3 linked regions of the Daphnia pulex genome follow. The protein of the gene in region 2 interacts with the protein of the main gene of each other region in a pairwise test. Links are inferred from orthologs where the notes say so. Each region holds a gene or a part of one and is shown on either strand. Other genes may lie near its edges. The genes, in order: elongation factor 1-gamma-like; delta(3,5)-Delta(2,4)-dienoyl-CoA isomerase, mitochondrial-like; peroxisomal targeting signal 1 receptor-like.

Region 1 (7,997 bases), on a different chromosome or scaffold from region 2:
AACAGAATATTATTATTATTCTATAACTATTCTATAGCTCTGCCTTTATAAAACTATACCAATACAGCAATACTACTATACCAACTAGTATACCCTTAACATTCCCTTCGGGTACCTTGCGGCGTACGTACGCTGCCTACAGTATTGACGGTGAGCCTAGGGCCTAAGGCCTAAGGCTATTGCAATGCGGTTATTCGTTTTTACCTGCAAAGGAAATTCCAGACAGCCTGTCTGGTTTCGTTCATGATTTTTTTTTGGGGGGAAAGGCATGACCAGTGGCTAAATGAGCCTATTACTCCTTTTTCCTTCTTCCCACCTTTCGCTTTGTTCCTAGCCCCCCACAATTAGGACCAAAAAGCCTAACATAGTTCCCGCATGACTGATAGGTGGCTTTTAGGTTGTTCGGATTTTTTTGGACCATACTGTACCGCAGCTGTGCGACACAGCACCATTTGAAATGAATGAAATGGAAGACTGACGGGAAACTAGGGCAAAGTAGGGTTTGTTTGTCAGTTCTACTGACAGGTGGAGCAGCTGGGCAACATGTTACGGATGTGGTCGGACGACTAGTATACGGACGACTTGGCCCGCCTGACACATTTTACTTCACAAAAATGTCCAAAAAAGACGCATTCCATGGCCTCGCTCAAGGATACCGGAAAAACCAATTTATTCCCATAAAAGACTAGACCATCCACCTCTATCAAATCCGTGCTGGTGTGTCGAACATTTCTGTATAGTCGAGGGTAATTAATTTTTAACCTCGAACAAAATTCAACATGAAATTTTTTAAATGAGCTTTATTATTGTAGTGTTTAAGATGTTACATCCAAAACCCTCCGTGAAAATATTAAATATTTCTGTTAAAAAAACATTTTATATTAAATTTTTTTTATTTTCGAAAAAATATGGTACTTCTAATTATAAAAAAATTGTTTAAAAAATTTCCTCGTGTTCACGTCTTTTACTTTATAAGTTATCAAATTTTCATCAACAATTCAACATCACGTGTAAAATAGATTATTTATGAAATTAATAGTGACAGACGGTCAAATTTTTTTCAGCCGCGCGGCAGCCGTGGTTTACATGGTGCCTTATGGCTAAGCGGCCGTGACAAAATTAAGTTTTTCCATTAAACTATAATACTTAAAAATTAGAGGCTTTTGCCATTAAATAAACAAGATAATGCCCGATTAATTTTAAAAATGCCAATTTAAAGCAATGTATAGCTTTCTAATTATTGATTGGCAAAAAAAGTCCTTTTTGGACTTCCGATTTCTCAAGGGTGATTTTGGTGATGTTGGTGAGCGTCGTCTACAAATTTATCAGAAATTAAGCTCCGCCCCTAAAAAATGGCTGAGGGCCCGTTTTGAAATGGGAGGCGCTTATTTGAACTTTGAATTAGAAATACACATAGATAGGTTCATTTTAAAAATATTTAAAAAATACCATGAGAATCAGCGTAAAAAACTGATTCTAACCAAGTATGTTTTAAACAAATTTAAATTTCATGCAAAGAGCCAAAGACCCTATTTTGCTCTTTTTCCCCCTTTTTCGTGCTGCCTATATCCCCTCTTTTGCCCTTAGGGCCCAAAGGCGAAAGACGAAAAGGGTGAAAAGAGGGGAAAAATAATAATAATACACCATGTTCAATTGATTTCTAAAATAAATAGCACTAGCAGCTCTGGCACTAGTATAATTATAGGGGATCATAGAGTTGGTTAACGTCCGAAGTTGCCAGTTCGTTGGACGTTGACGATTGGACGGTTGACGTCCAAAATCCAAAAATTGGACGTCAACCGTAACCGTCCAATCGATCATTCGTCCAAGTCGAATTGGCAACTTCGGACGTTAGCCAATTCTATTTGGCGTTCCGTATTTTACAGGCGTTTTCAGGCTGATCTGTATGATAGGTTTTTCTTTTAAGTGTCACAAATTACCCTTCACGGTGGGAATTTTGTTATATCATGCAGTTAAGAATGCTGAATCGTATGAATAATTTTATAGATAAAAAGGAAATTAAAAAATATTATGGTAAAAACGTTAGGGTTTGTCAACATGATCACAGCTCGTCTTAATGACCAAGCGAACCAATAAACACTTTGTAGCTGGGCTTAGAGCTTGGATCACTTGAGTATAAAATAGTTAGCCAAATTGTTGGTGTAATCGAGCACTAGAGGCACTACTGTTGATTATTCCTATTTCGCCTGTGAAATCGATCCATCAGCTTGGAAAGTCGGAGAACCTGGTGCTCTGTTGTATGTTAATCCGCCTTTTTTTGTAAAAAGCTTTTGTGCACCATTTTCTCGTTCATAACAAATTCTAAATTTTGTTTGATAATTGGTATACCAAACCACGCAAATTATTGTTCAAAACGCTTTGAGATGTATAAATACTGCTTTGAAGTTATTAACATGAGCGTGACTTGCAACTCATCAAAGGGGAGTGTAATAAAATGGTCTGTGACCCCAATGGAGAATCAAAGAGGGGATTAAGCAATATATTCTTAAATCAGCAAGCTAAAACAATTTAATGTAAGTCTGAATGAACTCCAACATATCAAGTAGCTCATCAGTTGTATTGATAATGGTTGTGATACAACACTCCACGAGTATAGATACCAAACTACTTGAAAATCTTTCCCTGGTTGAAAGGACGACCATTTTTATCAGTGCCGGACCAGGCAAAATACTCCGCCACCATCTTCTTGGTTTCATCTGAATCAGGGTTCAATTTCTTCCAGTCGTATGTCTCGTAGTCAATCTGCCAATCAGGACACAACTAAACAAAAAATATTGTTAAAACTTAGATCCATTACTTCAAGCAAAGCTAAGCTTAAAAACAGGTAAGTCTTATTACTTTCCCTCTACTTGTTACACAAAATATCGAAAACAAAAAATATTTGTGTCTTTGAAAGAGGTAACATCATTGTAAACCATCTTACCTGGAAAGCTAAATCTTGCCCACGCCACACCCAAATTCCTGAAATGGTACAATCATTGTCTGTTCCAAATAAGCACATGGATGCAAAGCATTGTTTCCTCATTTTATCCAAACGTTGATACATGCCTATTAAAAAATGTGAATATTATGGGATTTCTTCTTTGAAAACAAAAAAAAAAAAAAAAAATTGTGGAATATACCAGAGATTAAATTGCAAGACATGAAGACTTTGGTAAGTTCATCAGAGTATTTGTACTCTCCAAACCAGATAGAATAATTTTCCTTGTCGAATTTGTCCCAGAAATAAGGGATGGATTTTGACTCTTCATTGTTAGAATAAAATCTTTTGAAATCATCCATGTTGAATGTTCCTTTGGGCATTTCATCAAATGGATCCTTGGACTTGGGTTCCTCTAATAGGGCTGCATCAGCTGCATCCATTTCCTCAGCCTCTTCTGGCTCTTCCTTCTTTGGCTTTGGTTTCTCTTCTTTTTTCTCTTTCTTCTTTTCATCCTTGACAGATTTCTTTTCTTCCTTTTTCAGAGATCCAGTTATTTTACCTGTTGACACATTGGATAAAAATGGCAATGAATTAAATGTTTAGAATTTTCTTACTCTGAAATTCAGCAAACTTCTTGGGATCAACTGGACACTCTTTCTGGCATATCTTAAAGTCTCCAATGATGGCTTTGAATTGTGGTTGGTTAACACAAGTAATAAACCATCTATTCAAATTTTGATAAGGCTTCCTGTTAGTTTCATCACAAATGCTCTCATAAAGGTGGAGAAGATTGCTAGAAAGAACAATATCTGCAAGAGTTATTTTCTCTCCAACCAAAAAGGTGCGTGTAAGAAGGTGGTTGTTGACGACAGACAAAATAGCCTTCAATTCTTCTTTAGCATGTTCAACAGCCTATACAAACAATACACCAATTAACATTGTACATATAAAATTAGCTTTGCACAAATAAACTAAAATAAGAAACATACTTGTTTGTTGTACTGAATGATTCCAAGGACAGGGAAAACAATAGTACAGGACAGTGGAAGAATTTCACTGTCGGCAAATGACATCCACTGAAGGACTTGGGCCTTTTCCACGTCACTGTTTCCTCGAAGCTGCTGGTTGGCAACTGTTCAATAACACTCATTACATCTCAATTCCAGAGGAATACTATTTTAGTAGTAATATTTACCGAAATATGCAATTGCATTGCTCTCAGCAATGCACTGCCCATCTTGGGATTCAAAAGCTGGAACCTATCAATACAATCACATAGACTTAAAACTTTCCACCATGAAAATGAACCGCATAAAGAAAATTACCTTTCCCAACGGAAATTTCTTCAAAAAAGTTTCACTCTTGTTGGTCTCGCCGAAGACGAAGTTGGAAGCGACATTTATTTTGAAACCAGAGTATTGAGCAGCAATCAAAGCCTTATTGGCCCTGAAGTTGCTTGGGTAAGTGTACAAAGTCTAAAATTAAAAAAACCCGATTAATTAGATATTGGACAACAGAATCACGCTTTAAAACACAAGAAGATGTCACGGAATTTCTTAGATTCAAACACAGATCGTACTTACTCCAGAAGCCATGATGATCAAATGCAGGGACGAGAACCTGACGTGGAACCAAGAAGAAGTCTGCTGCAAGAGAGAACGAGCTCAAACGTGAGAATAGTTGAAAATTTCTACATGGCAACGCTGTTAAGCGCGCAGCCCTTTGTTGGTCTGCCTTGCGGGCCACTCTTGCAGAGTTGCAGTTAGGATGTGGAAAGTGGAATGTGGAATGTGGAAGTGGAATGTGGAGGTGGAAAGTGGATACTTAAAACGGAATAGAGCTAGAACTTTAAAATGCAAACACTAGAATGCGACACTAGAATCGCCGCTAGACCGACCTGGAACCGACGGAACAGAACTATGGTTTTTTTACGTTTACTCATGCTCTTCTTGTCTTCTAGAGATCAAAGGCTACCTGACTTCTATAGGCTGCCGGTCGTGCCACGACATCTTTGGGGAGAAACTGAGAATCCATGAAAGCATCAACTGTCTTAGCAGCACTTAGCAGGAAGGTGTACTTCGGTAGTTCGGTCTCGGTGGTACTTCGGTACTTCGGTAGTCGGTACTTCATGGACTTAGCACGAAGACAAGAAGTGTATCAAGCTCAAACTGTGTTAAAAAGAACAGTTTTACGCGAGTCAAGAAAGGACTTCAAACCAAACAATTCAAATATTTTCAAATAATTAACTCAGTGCATTCATCTGAAGTCGGAGCGTTAGTGTAGAAAGTAAACAAAATGCCCGCCATTGTTTTAGAAAAGCCGAAACTCAGCAGACCTATGTGGAATTCATTAAAATCACACATAATCAGAGAGAGACAAAGGAAAAAGCAAGGTTGTTATGATGAAGCTCCACAATAATTGTGTTAATGTTTCAATTGTGCTCTGTAACTCATTTACTCTTAAACAGAACAAGAAGCTGATGCTGAGGTCGAGCGACAGCGAAGAGAAAGAGAAGATCAGCAAAAAGAACAAGAGATGACTTTAGAAGAAACTAAGGAACAAGTTGCTCAGTCAGAATCCAGGCTTTCTCAACTGAAAGAGGATAAGCATCAATTATTTCTGCAACTCAAAAAAGTTCTAAATGAGGATGATACGAGAAGAAAAATCAAAGAATCCAGTTTCAAGTATGCTATCTATTTTTTCTTTTAAAATTCATTCTTAGCATAGAATAAGAAGACAATATTCATGCTGAAATATCCTAGGAAGTGTGTAAATAGTAAATGGACACTAAAAGTTTAATTTGGTAAAATTTTCCCTACCAGTGTTCATATCAAGAGTGATCAATATCCTATGAAATTTTTGTCCATATGAATTAGATTAGAAACTCAAATATTTTTCATTAGCAGTGATATGATGCTGTTTCATCCCTATCCATCTGGAGCTCCATTAGTGCATCCAAACACCCATGGTTCTGTGTACATGCATCCTAATCTTGGGGCTTCAAGGCCAGTATTTAATGGAGGGAAGGAAGAAAGCATTTTGAATTTGCAAGGAGTGCCTCCTTCATCACTTTATGGACAAGCAATCAATATGGTTCCTTCTCTTGGACATCAAAGTCAAACAAATCAGAAGAGACCTCGTAGTCCATCCCCACCACCACCACAGCTGTATCATTCTTACAAGCCACCAGCCCTTTCCCCATACAATTCAAGTATAAATCATTCTTGGTGAGCACTATACTGATTTATTTATTGTTTACTTTCTTTTCTAGAGAGTATAGGTAGTCCCTATGGAGGGAGCCCTGCAGTTCCAGGCAGCATCTTTTACACTCACTCAGTTTCTGTAAGTGCTGCCCATAGCGCAGCCAGTGCTGGTTACCAACTTCCTCCAGGATCCATGTACAGCTATCCCAACCACTCGGGTTCTTCTCGCCCAACATATTCTGTTCAGACTCCCGCATCATCGAAAGATGATGGTAAGCACCATGCAACTGTTTATGTAGGACAAGGAAATGTGCTATCTCAGAATGCTCAAAGAAGTAAGTTTTTATGGATCAATTCTAATTTTTTTATTTTAATGCAAATTACGCTATTCAAGTAATTCATGCGATAACAAGAAGAAGAAGAAAAATTAATGTTGATAATTTCTGGAATTATAACTTAAGAGATTACTGAAAATTTTTATTGTACTTATTTGTAGGCATCCCAACAAGAAATTCTGGCCCATCTTTGAATCAAGGTTTAAAATAATTATTTTTTTTTTTTCTTTTCAAATATTTAAATTTCTGTTTGTTATTTTTTTAAATGCAATTCAAGGATATCACCAGCCAATTGAACATATGATAAACAAAAATTCTAATGCTTACGGAACTACCGAACAAGAGAAGATTTTCATTTCTCCTTCTCTTGGTTCTAGTCCAAATGTATCCACGAATGTCAATTCTGTTTCGGCAGGAGGGTTGCGGCCTCATACTGGGTTGTTAACTCCAATTTCGTTACCTGGTGCCTCACATCCTTCTGGAATTCCTATTCAGCAGCAAAACCATGCATCGAAGAGCGGTAGCATCATAACAGGAAACCCGTTACGACCTCCGACCTCAGCTGGCTATCACTCTGCTATACCTGCTTCCAATGTAAGTGAAAATAAATTCCCCGTCTGTTCGCCATGTGTTTAAATGATCGAGTCTGTTTCCAGCTTAATAATGACCAAATCGAATCGATTGATCTTGATTTATGTCATTTACAATGAGCCAGTCAATAAAATTGATTTGCATTATATATAATGATCAGTGTGTCGGGGATTGTATTCTAAATTTTAATTTATTTGATGTACGAAAGCTGAGATCAAACATTTGATTTCGATTGGTATTACAGGCAGCTGGGTTGTCAATTTAGAACTGTTTCGAATTACCTCTCCAACAACATTTAATATATAAGTAATTTTTACTCGTTTATTCATGGAGAGTACTCATTCCATTTATATTTTCAGGCGCAAAATAATCGTCTAGTGAATACACAGAGTGGAGGCCAAACCTGTCATCCTACCCGTTATTACGGAAATTCGAGTTGAGAAGGAAATTTCTGCAACAAAACCTGCACTAAACAACTAACAATCGACCGTATGATTATTGTTTACTCCATGTAATGTTGCTTTTCTTCGGTTTATTACATTCCTTTATAACTTCAATATTATTTTCGTGAGTCTCTCGGGTTTGATTCTTACAATTGGCTAGAGTCTGTACTAAAAGTAATCAAGTTGTCAAGTCCCAATAATAATAATTACGTTGCGTAAATTTTATTAAGTGAAGATTTTAAATCAAATAAAAATAAAGGATAATTAGTGTTGCAATCTTTACCTTCTAGGTTAACTGTAGTAGGAATAATAATAGGAGGCAACGAATTATCATTTACTAAAAATATAAAAATAAAAACATCAACATCGCTATAATTTCCAAATAAAACAAAAATGTCAGTAGTGAAGTTTCAAGGATCTGTTGATCCCGAAAACTGCATAACTTCTAAAACATCTTTTGGAACAATTACGAATCCTCTAG
Region 2 (7,062 bases):
CGATTGAATACAAATGAAGATGAAGCTATCGCTTTCCTAGAGCACTACGACGCCGAATACGGCCCAATTCTCAATCAATACGTTCTCGCATCTTGGAATTACGAAACCAATTTGACCGATGAAAACGCAATGGCCGTTGTAAGCATTTCCTAATTCTTTCAATGAGAATTCATTTTATTAACCTATTAATTTGCATAATTAAAGGCTGAAGCTGGCGGAGTGGCTGGAGCCTATTACGCGCAAGCCAGTGCCAATGCTTCGACATTCGACACGACCAACTTTAGCGAAGATACTAAACGTCAATTTTCTTACCTGCAATCCGTCAGTTTAGATGATGCCGAGTCGGAGGAATTGTACAACATCCTCAGTGAAATGGGCCGCATCTACGGCAGTTACCAGGTACAGGATCCATTTTTCTTGGTTGTAAGTCCCCATTTAACTAATCAAATTGAATTTGAAATAGGCTTGTAGATCTAATCCGTCGACTGGACTCAACGAGTGCATGTATCTGGAACCGGAATTGACTGAGCTGATGGCCGAGATTGGCAATGACGACGACCATTTGTGGGCGTGGCAAGCGTGGCACGACGGAGTGGGTCGCCAATTGCGTCCGCTCTATTTGCGTTACGTGGAACTGTCGAACAAACAGGCCCAGCTCAACGGCTACGACGACTACGGAGACCAATGGCGTCAAAAATACGAAACCACCGAAATGGAGACGATCGTCCAGGATCTTTACAGCCAAGTCGAGCCTCTGTACAAGCAACTGCACGCCTACATCCGACGAAAGCTCTACAACACTTACGGAGCCAATAACATTGACTTGCGTGGACCGCTACCTGCCCATCTTTTGGGCGACATGTGGGGCCGTTTCTGGGTCAATTTGAACCCCATCGCCATTCCTTATCCCGACAAACCATCCACTGATCCTTCGCCGGAAATGATCCGTCAAAATTACACGGTGGAACGCATGTTCCGCACCGGAAACGACTTCTACACTTCCATGGGTTTGCTGCCGGTGCCCGAGACTTTCTGGAACTTGTCCATGTTGGAGAAACCGACAGACGGTCGTGAAGTCGCTTGTCACGCAACGGCATGGGATTTCTACGACGCCAAGGATTTCAGGATTCGAATGTGCGCTCGAGTCGTTTTTGAAGATTTCCAGACTGTCCATCACGAACTGGGTCACATTCAATACTTTATGGTATTAAACATTTAATTTTTTAATTACCGAATATGACGTAATTTGGATATTTTCTTTACCTTTTCAGCAATATGCATTTCAGCCACTCAACTACAGGTAAAAACCATTTTTATCAGATATCCTTGTGTCCTTGTTGACTTTGTTTGATCGAAGATAAAGCAAACTGCGTCGTTTGACATGTTGACTGATCCCTGTAGCTTATATAATTTTAAAAACGGCTAGACAAAAGTCAAATAAAAATCATTTCTTATCAATGACTTGACAGGGATGGAGCCAACGATGGATTTCACGAGGCTGTCGGAGAGCTCATGTCTATGAGTTTCTCCACCACCAAACATCTCAACACTCTTGGGCTACTTAACGTTCCAGATGATCCAGGTGGATTAATTAAAACTCTGCAAATGAAATGAATTTCGATTAACCCATCAAAATAATTCTTTTCCCAGATGTGGACATGAACTTTTTACTTTTCCAAGCGTTAAACACCATTTCGACCTTGCCGTTCCATTTGACTCAAGACACTTGGCGCTGGAACATGTTCAGAGGTGACATCCCAGAAGCCGAACTCAACACCCAATACTGGGCCGACAAGTATTTAAAAAATGAACAATTGGCAATTAAAATAATTTAATAATCAAAACAAAAATGTAGAGCTCGAGTGCTAGGAGTGGCGCCACCTGTGGGACGTGATCCCGCCCAGGATCTGGACATTACGGCCATTTTCCACGTCTGCAACAATTACGACATGATCCGCTATTTCATGCGCACTTTCTTCCAATATCAATTCAATGAAGTACTCTGCACCGCTGCCGGCCATGTTGGACCACTTTACAAATGCGATTTCTACAACTCGACCGCCGCTGGAGATGCTCTTGCGTATTTAAATTCAAAATTTCGTGTGTTAATTTCTGACTAAATAAATTTTTGTCTGTTTGGTGGGGGGTAATAGGGCAATGTTGCAATTAGGAGCCTCCAAGCCTTGGCAAGACGCCATGGAAGCCATGACTGGTCAGCGCGATGTCCTTGCTACTCCTCTGCTCAATTACTTTGAGCCATTGAAAGTGTGGCTGGAAGCTGAGAATGCTAAGAATGGCGAATACATTGGATGGGACGTTCCAGCAACTAAAATCGAATCGCCAATCGAAAAAATTGTCGAAACCAAGAAAGAAGGATCGTCTCCATTAATCAGCAAAGAGGCGGCCAAATATCTGGCACCCATTTTCGAAGAGACGCTTCATTCGTTGCGCAACATTCGATTTTAAAAGATTAATGGCACATTTACCCGAACATTTTTAAATACAAAATTAATTGCATCAAATAGCTTTTTCTCGTTTTTGATTCAATCAATATTAGCCATAATATCTGTATAATTTTAAAATATGAACTAAAAAAATTACATTTCGTTTTTTTAACAATTTAAAGCTTTGAAAAGACTGGCGGAGGACCTTTACGATCCATGGCGGCCATGGCGGCGATGCGCAAGTCTTCCGATTGCAGCATCGCCGCGTTCCATGTGGCCATGTAACTCAGTCCTTGTTCGATCGAGTGATCTCGGGCGTAATTGAGATTATGTTTGCTACCTTGAATGGCCACCGGTGATTTGCCGGCAATGGCGCTGGCCGTCTCCAGAGCTGCTTTGAGCAGCGAGTCTTTATCGGGCAAGACTCGACTCACCAGACCTGCTTGAGCTGCTTCGTCCGCAAACATTTTTCGGGCCGTGTAGGCCAATTCGCGGACCAAACTATCTGATCCAATCACTTTAGGTAAGCGCTGCAACGTTCCCACGTCGGCAGCAAGTCCTATGGAAACAATGGAAGAGTTACATCACATGAAAACCTTGTAATATTGGTGACTATAAATACCGATTTCAACTTCTTTGATTTGGAAGAAGGTATCCTGAGTACAGAAACGAATATCAGCAGCAGTGACCAAATCCACACCACCCCCTATGCAACCTCCATGAATAGCAGCAATTACTGGTTTGTGACACTTAAAGGATCGAGTATAGAATGAAAAATTGTAATAAATTATTCTGTGGCTGCAAAATAATAACAAACCTGCTCAATTGAGGTGAATGACAACTGATAGCGTTTAATGAACTGATGAAGTGTACGAAATTTCCTGGCAATATCATCATCTCCCAAAACGGTCTCCATTAACGGACCCATGTCACTCAAATCAAGACCTGAAGTGAAATGCTTGCCATTTGCAGAGATGACTACAACCCTGCAGTCGCTGTCTTCACTAATTGCTTGAAAGCACTCTACCATTTCCCTTTAAACGAAAAGATAATTAATAATTATAAAATGGGAATTTGAACAAGACCATACCTCCAGAAGGCACTATTCATTGCATTAAATTGCTGAGGTCTATTAAGTTGAACATGATAAACATAGTCCTTTGGAGTGGACACTGACAAGGTTTCAAATTTGTACTTGTTGGACGAAGCAGCAGAAGATGCCATGGCTGCTGAATAGGTAGACAATGTTCTTACTGCGCTTTGTCCTAAATTTATTTAAAAAAATGTTACATTAATTTGATTTCTAAGACACATATTTTTGGTGTGCAATTTACCCAATACTTTAAAAGCAGTTTGCATGATTATCGAAAACTTTGATTCTGATTAGATTGAGAATCTTTTGACAGATGGACTTTGGAAACACAAACAAACGAAATGAAATAGAAAACAGTGCCATCTTGGAATGGAGATCAGACATGGATAGTTAATCGCGCCATCTATCAAGGGTCGTTTGGGTCCGTTTAGATAGAATTTCAGCCAATTTACGGATTCAAGTTGTCTTCCGACTTTGTTGATCAAATGATCACCCCGGATTTGATTTTTCTAAATTCGTCGAAGTCGTTGACGTCTAATAAACTGACACGCCTGGAACATTGTTTATGTTTTGTCGTCGGTCGCTGTTGCAACAACAACATTCAGACGAACTTGATGCTTCACTTGTTTTGAATTTTTGATAGCTCACGTCCAAATCTGGTTTGGTAAAACCCAGAAAACCTTCTGTCGGTGTAACATTTCATCTCTTCTGCTGACCTCATTATTTTTCTGATGAACTGCTGAATCCGCCATGAACTCACTTCGTCACCAACTGATGGTGATATCGATGATGGCGAAGGGCATCTGGTACGATACAAAAGGTGGCCATCCTTCTGCGATAATAGCTGATCAGTCGGCGAACGACCGCCACTTGCCGTCACTTTCAATCCACTTTTCCATTCGAAAATCTCTCTAATACATATCTACACTTCATTCCAATTGGGTAAGCCAACGTTTTGCAACTATTAGTATCTCAAATGATTTGCACTGCTGACGAATTTGATTTAACCTTTTAAAATACCCCAAAATATAGACTAATTGTTTGCTACTATCTTGGCCACAGTACATTTGGATTCCAGGATGAAACTAGCTTTGTTACTAACGATGGCCATCTTGGCATCATCGACTAGAGCCTTCATTCTTCCCGGGACTCCCGAACAAACCAACATTGCAAATGTATATCAGACTGCCGAGTCGGCTGGAGCTGGAGAAAATCAAATCGCCAAAGACCTGGAACATTTTCTGGGCAAACCTTTGGCGACCATGTCGTTTGCCGGCACAACTAGGCTCAACATTTACCGCGTCCAGGGCCGGAAAAACTACCACAGCAAGTCCCTTTACCAGTTCAGTCCAGCGGCCATTCTGGACAGCTCCAGCATCACCCACTGGTACAGCGGAGTCAACAACCAACTCTATTTCGGCTTCCGCGTTCAAATGTGGAACGAGACGATCCAGCAAGCTGTCGCCACCCATCTGACGCGGGTAACGGGCAAAAAGGTGCGGACCTACCAGGTCGAGTCGATCCCGTTCGACCGGGTCATCCTGACCAGATCCAGCGACGTAGAAGAGGACGGACGTTATCATATGGCCCAGCCCATGATCCCGTACACGCAAACGGTGGGTTTCAGTTTGGCCTGTTACGACAAAGCCGAATGCCAACAACTGGCCGAGCAGTTCAGTAAGGAGCCGGAACAATTCGACAAATTCAAAGTGGCCTACAGCATGGACAGCCGGAGGCAGACGGAGACCAAAATCGTCCAGGTAACGCAGAGCATGTTGACGCAGACCAATCAGCTTTTCAGTCAAATCAGCCAGCGATTCCCGCGGACCAACGAGATCCTGTTGTCCGTCGGTGATGCCCAGCGTCTTTTATGGCGGGCCGTTTCCGACATTGTCCGCGAAAGTTTCGGGGAACAACCGGAAGCGATCGTGCGCAGGGACTCTCGCCAGAAAATCTACGACCAACTGGAAAAAGTTGTCGTGGCGGCCAAATTGACAATCTCGACGGCCGACGACGCCAAATGGCCCACCGTCTACTGGGAAGACCCACTGAGCCGTCCCGATGCCATCGCCCGATCCCTCAATGAACGCAAACGCCACCTGGTCCACCACGACGACGATAACTTTGACGTCCAGGAGGAACAGCAGCAGCAATCGTCCAGTGAATGGAAGACCCGGTCGAAGGAGGCCATCGACGCCTTGTACGACCAGCACAAGGAATTCGTCAGCTTTGACGGTGAGAAATTCGTGCCCAAACCGATCCAGCTGTACAGGATCAAGTTGAACGCCATCCGCGAGGGTCGCGTCTGGAAGGATCTCGGCCGGCTCGAAGTGAATTACCACGCGGGAGCTGAAATGACTGGACCCATCGTCCACAGCGCATCTACTTCTTATTCCTTGGGGCTCGTTTTACCTGCGTCAGGTATTTCATCTGATAATCAATTTAACTGTTATGTCATTAACTTAATTCATTTTTTCAGTGGAACTGGAAGAGGAAATTCCGAATAATTGCGAGGAGAAGAAGAGTGTCATCTCCCGGCTGATTGACGGGCAGATTTTGATCGTCCGGATTAAAAACGCCCGAACTGGCGAGTATCTTTACCCTGGACGGGACGAGTTCTCCCAGGACGCCAAACGACGCCGAGTCTTTACGTGGCGCAACAAGGACGAGCCGCTGGGATTGTGGGCCGAATGGCGACTGACTGGACTGTGGAAGGCCGGCGTCTTCCGGGTTCGTTTCACCAGTTTGCGGTTCCCGCACGAGTACCTGTACCCGTCGACCGACGAGTTCTCCTACGACAAGGATCGACGTCGCGTCTTCACCTGGCGCCAGTACAGCAAACCCGAGGACGTCCACACCTGGGCCGATGGAGCGGCCGATTGGCTCCTGGACACTTACCGCGTCAACACGGAGCAATTCCCCAACCGCTACGCTCTTTTCAGTCCCAAACGACGCGAGTACCTCTACGTGGCTCCCGACCAGTTGGCCCTGGACGAGACCCGCCATCGGGTCTTCACCTGGCGCGGTCCAGAGAACGAAGTTTGGGTCGGACTCAAGAACCAATGGGACATTGAAGTCGTCCGATCCTTGTAATCACCAATTTCCCCCAAATTAATTCCAGTCCAGGATGAATTTTGAGCGTTTGAATAAAGTTCTGATGACGAAATCCTGTTAATTGTCCTATCAGCATTGGCGTCACGTTGCCAGTGGCATGACACGCGCCCACGTCGTGGCCTCCACACAATCTGGCGATTAAGTAAAAGATTAGTTCAAGGATGTTACCACATTTTCAAATGGACAGTGTTCGGAACGTCACGGAGTTTTCAGTGACTTAGAAAAAATTTGCACGTCATACGTCATTTGAAAACCTAACGTCAAAAGTCAAAAAAAAAAGTCAACGTAACTGCCAAAAAAAATTACGTCACCGTCATGACTTAAGTCACAAAATAAGTCATGTATTTTTACGCTATTTGACAGGTGGTTTTTACAAGTTTAAAGCAATTTTTAGAAATATTAACATTTCCA
Region 3 (4,268 bases), on a different chromosome or scaffold from region 2:
ACTAGCTGGTTCAGACTCAACCAATTTAAGTTCCACAATGGCTTTCTGTTCACACGCCGCTAAATCTGTTGGCGCGACGGCAGAAGCTGCAACATTTTGAGAAACCGAAGGGGCTGGATTTCCTAATACTTGTCCTTCACCTCCAAAAGCCTGAATCCAAGTAGGTTTTTAACAACTAACTAACGATCTAACTACTTTGAATGTATATTACTTGGAAACGCATCTTCTTACTGATGAATTCTTCAGTACGGTGGTCTTCCATTTGCAAATGCACTTCACGGCCGCGAGATTCACGGATCAACTCCATGGGTACTTCTCTAATGATGGACAAATTGTAAGGAAATTTGTAAACAATTGTTTTATTCATATTTAAAACGTAGAATGCACAATTACCCGCGTTTGATGTATTCAAGGAAGTCCTTGTTTGCCGGATTTTGGTAGTCTCTCACTGGACCCTCATCTAAACTGAAGCCGGTTTTCCATAATTTTAGCACAACGGTCCTAGGTTGTTCAGGCTGTCGTGCGCCTGGTATGACTATAGAAAGGAATTATGCTTGAAGAAATGTCATGGTGCTGTTATTTCATGGCAAAGATAACTACCTTGTGTATCCTCTTCACTCTGCCCTAGACGATATCCAGTTCCTTTAAATGTTTGATTACCCTTGGTTGAGGTTGAGGCCCCCTTTTCCAAAACTTCTGCTCCATGCCTAGGATCCAGAAAATGTTAATACATTTTTCTTGTAATAATCTCAAAGAGTAAACCCACTCTCTGGCTGATTTGAACATGTCTCCAATGAGATCTCCAGAAGGCTTTCCCTTGTTACGTGGTGGACCAATGACTTGCTGACCACTTCTCTCAGAGCCTCCAACATAAAAAGCTTGGCCCTCTTCATCCGAATCAGAAGAACTATTCATTTCTACAAGTTTATGGACAGCAGCAGCACCTCTATAATTAAATTTTCAAAATTTGGTCTGCACTACAGTATGTGAAAAATCATATTAACTAATACCTTGATGGGGGTTCTGGAAGTTGGTTTGAAGGAACTTCAACAGGTTCATCTTCTCCATCTCCAGCTTGCCTGTCCATAGCTCCATCATTTTCAAAGAAGCTGGCAAGGGCTGTCTGAGAATCAAAGTGATTTATTTATTGAATGCTCATAACTGTTCTTAATCTGTCTTAGTATACTTCTAATTGCCAACCGGATGACTCTAGGTAAAAACGAGCCCTTTGTTCATCAATCCCAGTTACTTCCCGGAAATTGGCAACTAATTCGTCGTTCGCTGACATGTTCAAACTAAATGTATTGAGTAATTACAATAGACAGGCAAAACTAGGCAGAATTTCAAGACTAAAATATTTTCACCAAACGAAGGACAGAGCTGACGACTCGTCGGATCGGGATTTCGAACAAAAGTCGTAATGTTTTTCATGACCGACAGAGCCATCTATACCACCATGGCCTTTATTCACTAGGTGGCTTTTGTTGTTTGTTGTACGAAATTGGTGTGGATGTGACTTTGCAGAGTGATAGAAGTTACAGTGATAAGACATACACACGATATCTTAACAACTTGCTTTCATAAGTTATATTGATGAATAGTATTGGGAAATTATTACCGAACCATTCTTGAGCTAGACCCTCTTTTTAGGTAACACATGATTTCTAATGACACATGTGTAACAGAAACTAATATATTGTTTTGTATTTTTAGGTAGCTATACATTCAGGAAGAAGTTTGGAGACCTTGAGCTCGGACATCAGTACCTAGAATGGCGTTTCGAGAATTAGTTGATGGAAATTGTGGTGGAAGGAATCCTATGCTTAAAGTAGCATCACATTTTACCAGAGATCAAGGATTTCGTCAGGATGTACCTGTTTCACATAGACACCCTGAACCGAGACCAGAAGATGTTGTAAGTTGATTCCTGACTCACTGTCTAAAGAAAAAGCATTCTCTCACAAATCTTTTTTTTATCTCAACTATTTTCTAGATGGTCAGAGAATTTTTGGAGGGTATTCCACCTCCATCTCAAGTAGGATCAAGAGGTGCCTTTAACATGGATAGCCTTTTACGTGAGATGAGGGATCTGGAAAAGCCACAAGGAATTGCTAGACCTCCTATTCAACCAGGACCAAATGTAGCCCATTATGCATTTGATGACAAAAACTGGGCTGAAGATTTTTTGAGGAAAGAACCTCATGTGATACCAGAAGATTTACCTTCTGCTAGTGGATGGAGTCAGGAGTTTCTGGACAGTCCTGGCTATATGGGAGTTGTAGATGATTATGCAGAGTGGGACAACCATTGGGATAGCTTAACCTCTCATATAGAAAAACCGGGATTTTCTGCTCCTGGCGCATTAGCCCAAACTGCCGGAGAAATTATTGACAGAATGAAAGATCCAAAATTTGCTCAATCTGAGGTAATATTTTATGCGCATGATCCCTTTCCTGACCAAAGTTTCTGAAAAAAAGCTTTCAGTTTTTGCAGTTTATGCACAAGGTCAATCAAGGGGAGGAGGATTTGACCTCGGAACCTCGGACTACTACCGCTCATAGTAATTCAAACTGGGCGGAGGAGTTTTCTGGCTCAGAGGGTGTAACAAGACAGCCAGAATCCAGTGCAGATCAAGACTGGGCTGCTGAATTCACAACTAATCGTCAACCTGATTCGGCCGACGAATGGACAAAAGAATTCAGCGGTAGTGTTATATATTTTAAGTAGCTAATCAACTTCATCCTTGTAATTTTTTTTGCATATATAAAGACGGTGCCAGCGCTGAAGTGTTTAGGGGCGGAAATCCAGCTCAAGATGACTTCTGGTCACAACTTCAACAAGACTGGGAAAAAGCAGCCGACGACAACCCTGCAAGCTACGGATGGCTTAAGGAAACGCAACAAGATCCGTTAAGTGAAGTAATAATGCGCATGGTATTTACTAGTTCCTTGATTCTCACTTCTGTTGGTTTTTAGTACACATTTGAGGCAGAGAATCCGTACCAAGACAACGCGGATCCTTACAATACAGGTCTCCAAAAAAGATTAGAAGGTGATCTTCCAAGTGCCATTTTGCTGTTTGAGGCAGCTCTAAAAAAAGATCCTGAACATGTGAAAGCTTGGGAAGTTCTTGGTAAAAATATCTAATTATTTATATGCCAGGATTCTGTGTAAAGTTAGCTTGTTTTTTATTTTAGGGTTGACTCTTGCCGAAAACGAACAAGATCCAGGGGCAATTACCGCATACAAGCGTTGCTTAGCATTGGAACCAACAAATCTTGTTGCCATGATGGGTCTGGCTGTAAGTTACACAAATGAATCTTACCAGTTGCAAGCTTGCCAAGCCCTGGAGGTAATTGTTTTCCAATTAGTGTAAGGCATACAACATTAAAGGTGGTTTTATATTATTAGGACTGGTTGCGGAACAATCCCAAGTACGGACACTTGACCTCTCCTTCATCAGCCAGGGTTAACGAACGGGAGAGAACATTTACAAGCCTAGTTTCTGGGTACAGGAAATATTTTCTAATTTGTTGTGATATTACGGCGCAAACTTACCCGAGTTTTAAATTCTACCTAGGGATACTTTTAACCGAGTTCAGGATATGTACTTAACAGCAGCTCGATTACAACCTTCCCAAGACTTAGATCCCGATGTGCAAACTGGCTTAGGCGTACTTCTCAATCTCTCTGGGGATTTTGATAAAGTATGATGCATTTATGAAATTATTCGATTTTCTTGATTTTTTCAATTGGCTGCATTGCTTCAATTTTTAGGCTCCCGATTGTTTCAGGGCTGCTCTTCAGATGAAACCTAATGTAAGTTGTGGTGATTTATTATTTGCATGTACTTTTTTCAAGTTTATGATTTTATTTATTGTTAATTCCTATTTTCAGGATTCTTTGCTTTGGAATCGGCTCGGAGCAACTTTAGGTGACTAGCTTTTCTTACATAGAATAGTCTTACATAAGAACGTATGCATGATTTACGTGTTATTTGTAGCCAATGGAGGGAAATCTGAAGAGGCCATTGAGTCATATTACAAAGCTCTAGAGCTGTCGCCTGGTTTCATTCGCGCGCGTTATAACTTGGCAGTTTCCTGTATCAACCTAGGTGCTCACAGGTAATAAAGATTAACATTTTCTTTCTCCAATCCTGTTTAGTGTATACATTTTCTAAATTCTCGAAACAGAGAAGCAGCCGAACATCTAGTGTCCGCTTTACTCCTTCAAGCTAGACGTTCTAAGCGCGTCATGTCCGACAATATT

The links.
Region 1: the proteins of delta(3,5)-Delta(2,4)-dienoyl-CoA isomerase, mitochondrial-like (region 2) and elongation factor 1-gamma-like interact in a two-hybrid assay, tested with the Homo sapiens proteins (2 studies listed by BioGRID and IntAct). The link is inferred for Daphnia pulex from reciprocal best matches to the Homo sapiens genes ECH1 and EEF1G.
Region 3: the proteins of delta(3,5)-Delta(2,4)-dienoyl-CoA isomerase, mitochondrial-like (region 2) and peroxisomal targeting signal 1 receptor-like interact in a two-hybrid assay, tested with the Homo sapiens proteins (2 studies listed by BioGRID and IntAct, with this or other methods). The link is inferred for Daphnia pulex from reciprocal best matches to the Homo sapiens genes ECH1 and PEX5.

The regions. Positions count from the first base shown.
Region 1 is NC_060020.1:8,826,971-8,834,967, reverse strand, and holds elongation factor 1-gamma-like, read right to left. Parts: upstream 4,823-7,997; 5' UTR 4,540-4,822; coding exon 4,528-4,539; intron 4,420-4,527; coding exon 4,270-4,419; intron 4,204-4,269; coding exon 4,140-4,203; intron 4,077-4,139; coding exon 3,934-4,076; intron 3,857-3,933; coding exon 3,559-3,856; exon of another isoform or gene 3,504-3,558; coding exon 3,144-3,503; exon of another isoform or gene 3,070-3,143; coding exon 2,945-3,069; exon of another isoform or gene 2,918-2,944; intron 2,846-2,917; exon of another isoform or gene 2,782-2,845; coding exon 2,626-2,781; 3' UTR 2,560-2,625; downstream 1-2,559. Other genes in the region: uncharacterized protein LOC124193185, read left to right, coding at 5,240-5,336, 5,412-5,628, 5,848-6,155, 6,216-6,482, 6,644-6,682, 6,760-7,076, 7,433-7,513. UniProt on the Homo sapiens protein: Probably plays a role in anchoring the complex to other cellular components.
Region 2 is NC_060021.1:120,032-127,093, reverse strand, and holds delta(3,5)-Delta(2,4)-dienoyl-CoA isomerase, mitochondrial-like, read right to left. Parts: upstream 3,932-7,062; 5' UTR 3,804-3,931; coding exon 3,779-3,803; intron 3,710-3,778; coding exon 3,535-3,709; intron 3,479-3,534; coding exon 3,262-3,478; intron 3,194-3,261; coding exon 3,067-3,193; intron 3,004-3,066; coding exon 2,621-3,003; 3' UTR 2,554-2,620; downstream 1-2,553. Other genes in the region: angiotensin-converting enzyme-like, read left to right, coding at 1-138, 205-399, 464-1,204, 1,272-1,300, 1,470-1,582, 1,651-1,795, 1,856-2,080, 2,154-2,466; uncharacterized protein LOC124194904, read left to right, coding at 4,617-5,958, 6,017-6,630. UniProt on the Homo sapiens protein: Isomerization of 3-trans,5-cis-dienoyl-CoA to 2-trans,4-trans-dienoyl-CoA.
Region 3 is NC_060028.1:9,644,642-9,648,909, reverse strand, and holds the start of peroxisomal targeting signal 1 receptor-like, read left to right. Parts: upstream 1-1,468; 5' UTR 1,469-1,650; intron 1,651-1,713; 5' UTR 1,714-1,771; coding exon 1,772-1,915; intron 1,916-1,993; coding exon 1,994-2,425; intron 2,426-2,484; coding exon 2,485-2,704; intron 2,705-2,769; coding exon 2,770-2,918; intron 2,919-2,975; coding exon 2,976-3,132; intron 3,133-3,196; coding exon 3,197-3,351; intron 3,352-3,410; coding exon 3,411-3,508; intron 3,509-3,579; coding exon 3,580-3,706; intron 3,707-3,776; coding exon 3,777-3,818; intron 3,819-3,896; coding exon 3,897-3,933; intron 3,934-4,002; coding exon 4,003-4,123; intron 4,124-4,192; coding exon 4,193-4,268. Other genes in the region: NSFL1 cofactor p47-like, read right to left, coding at 1-150, 212-317, 394-535, 601-707, 767-946, 1,011-1,123, 1,187-1,288.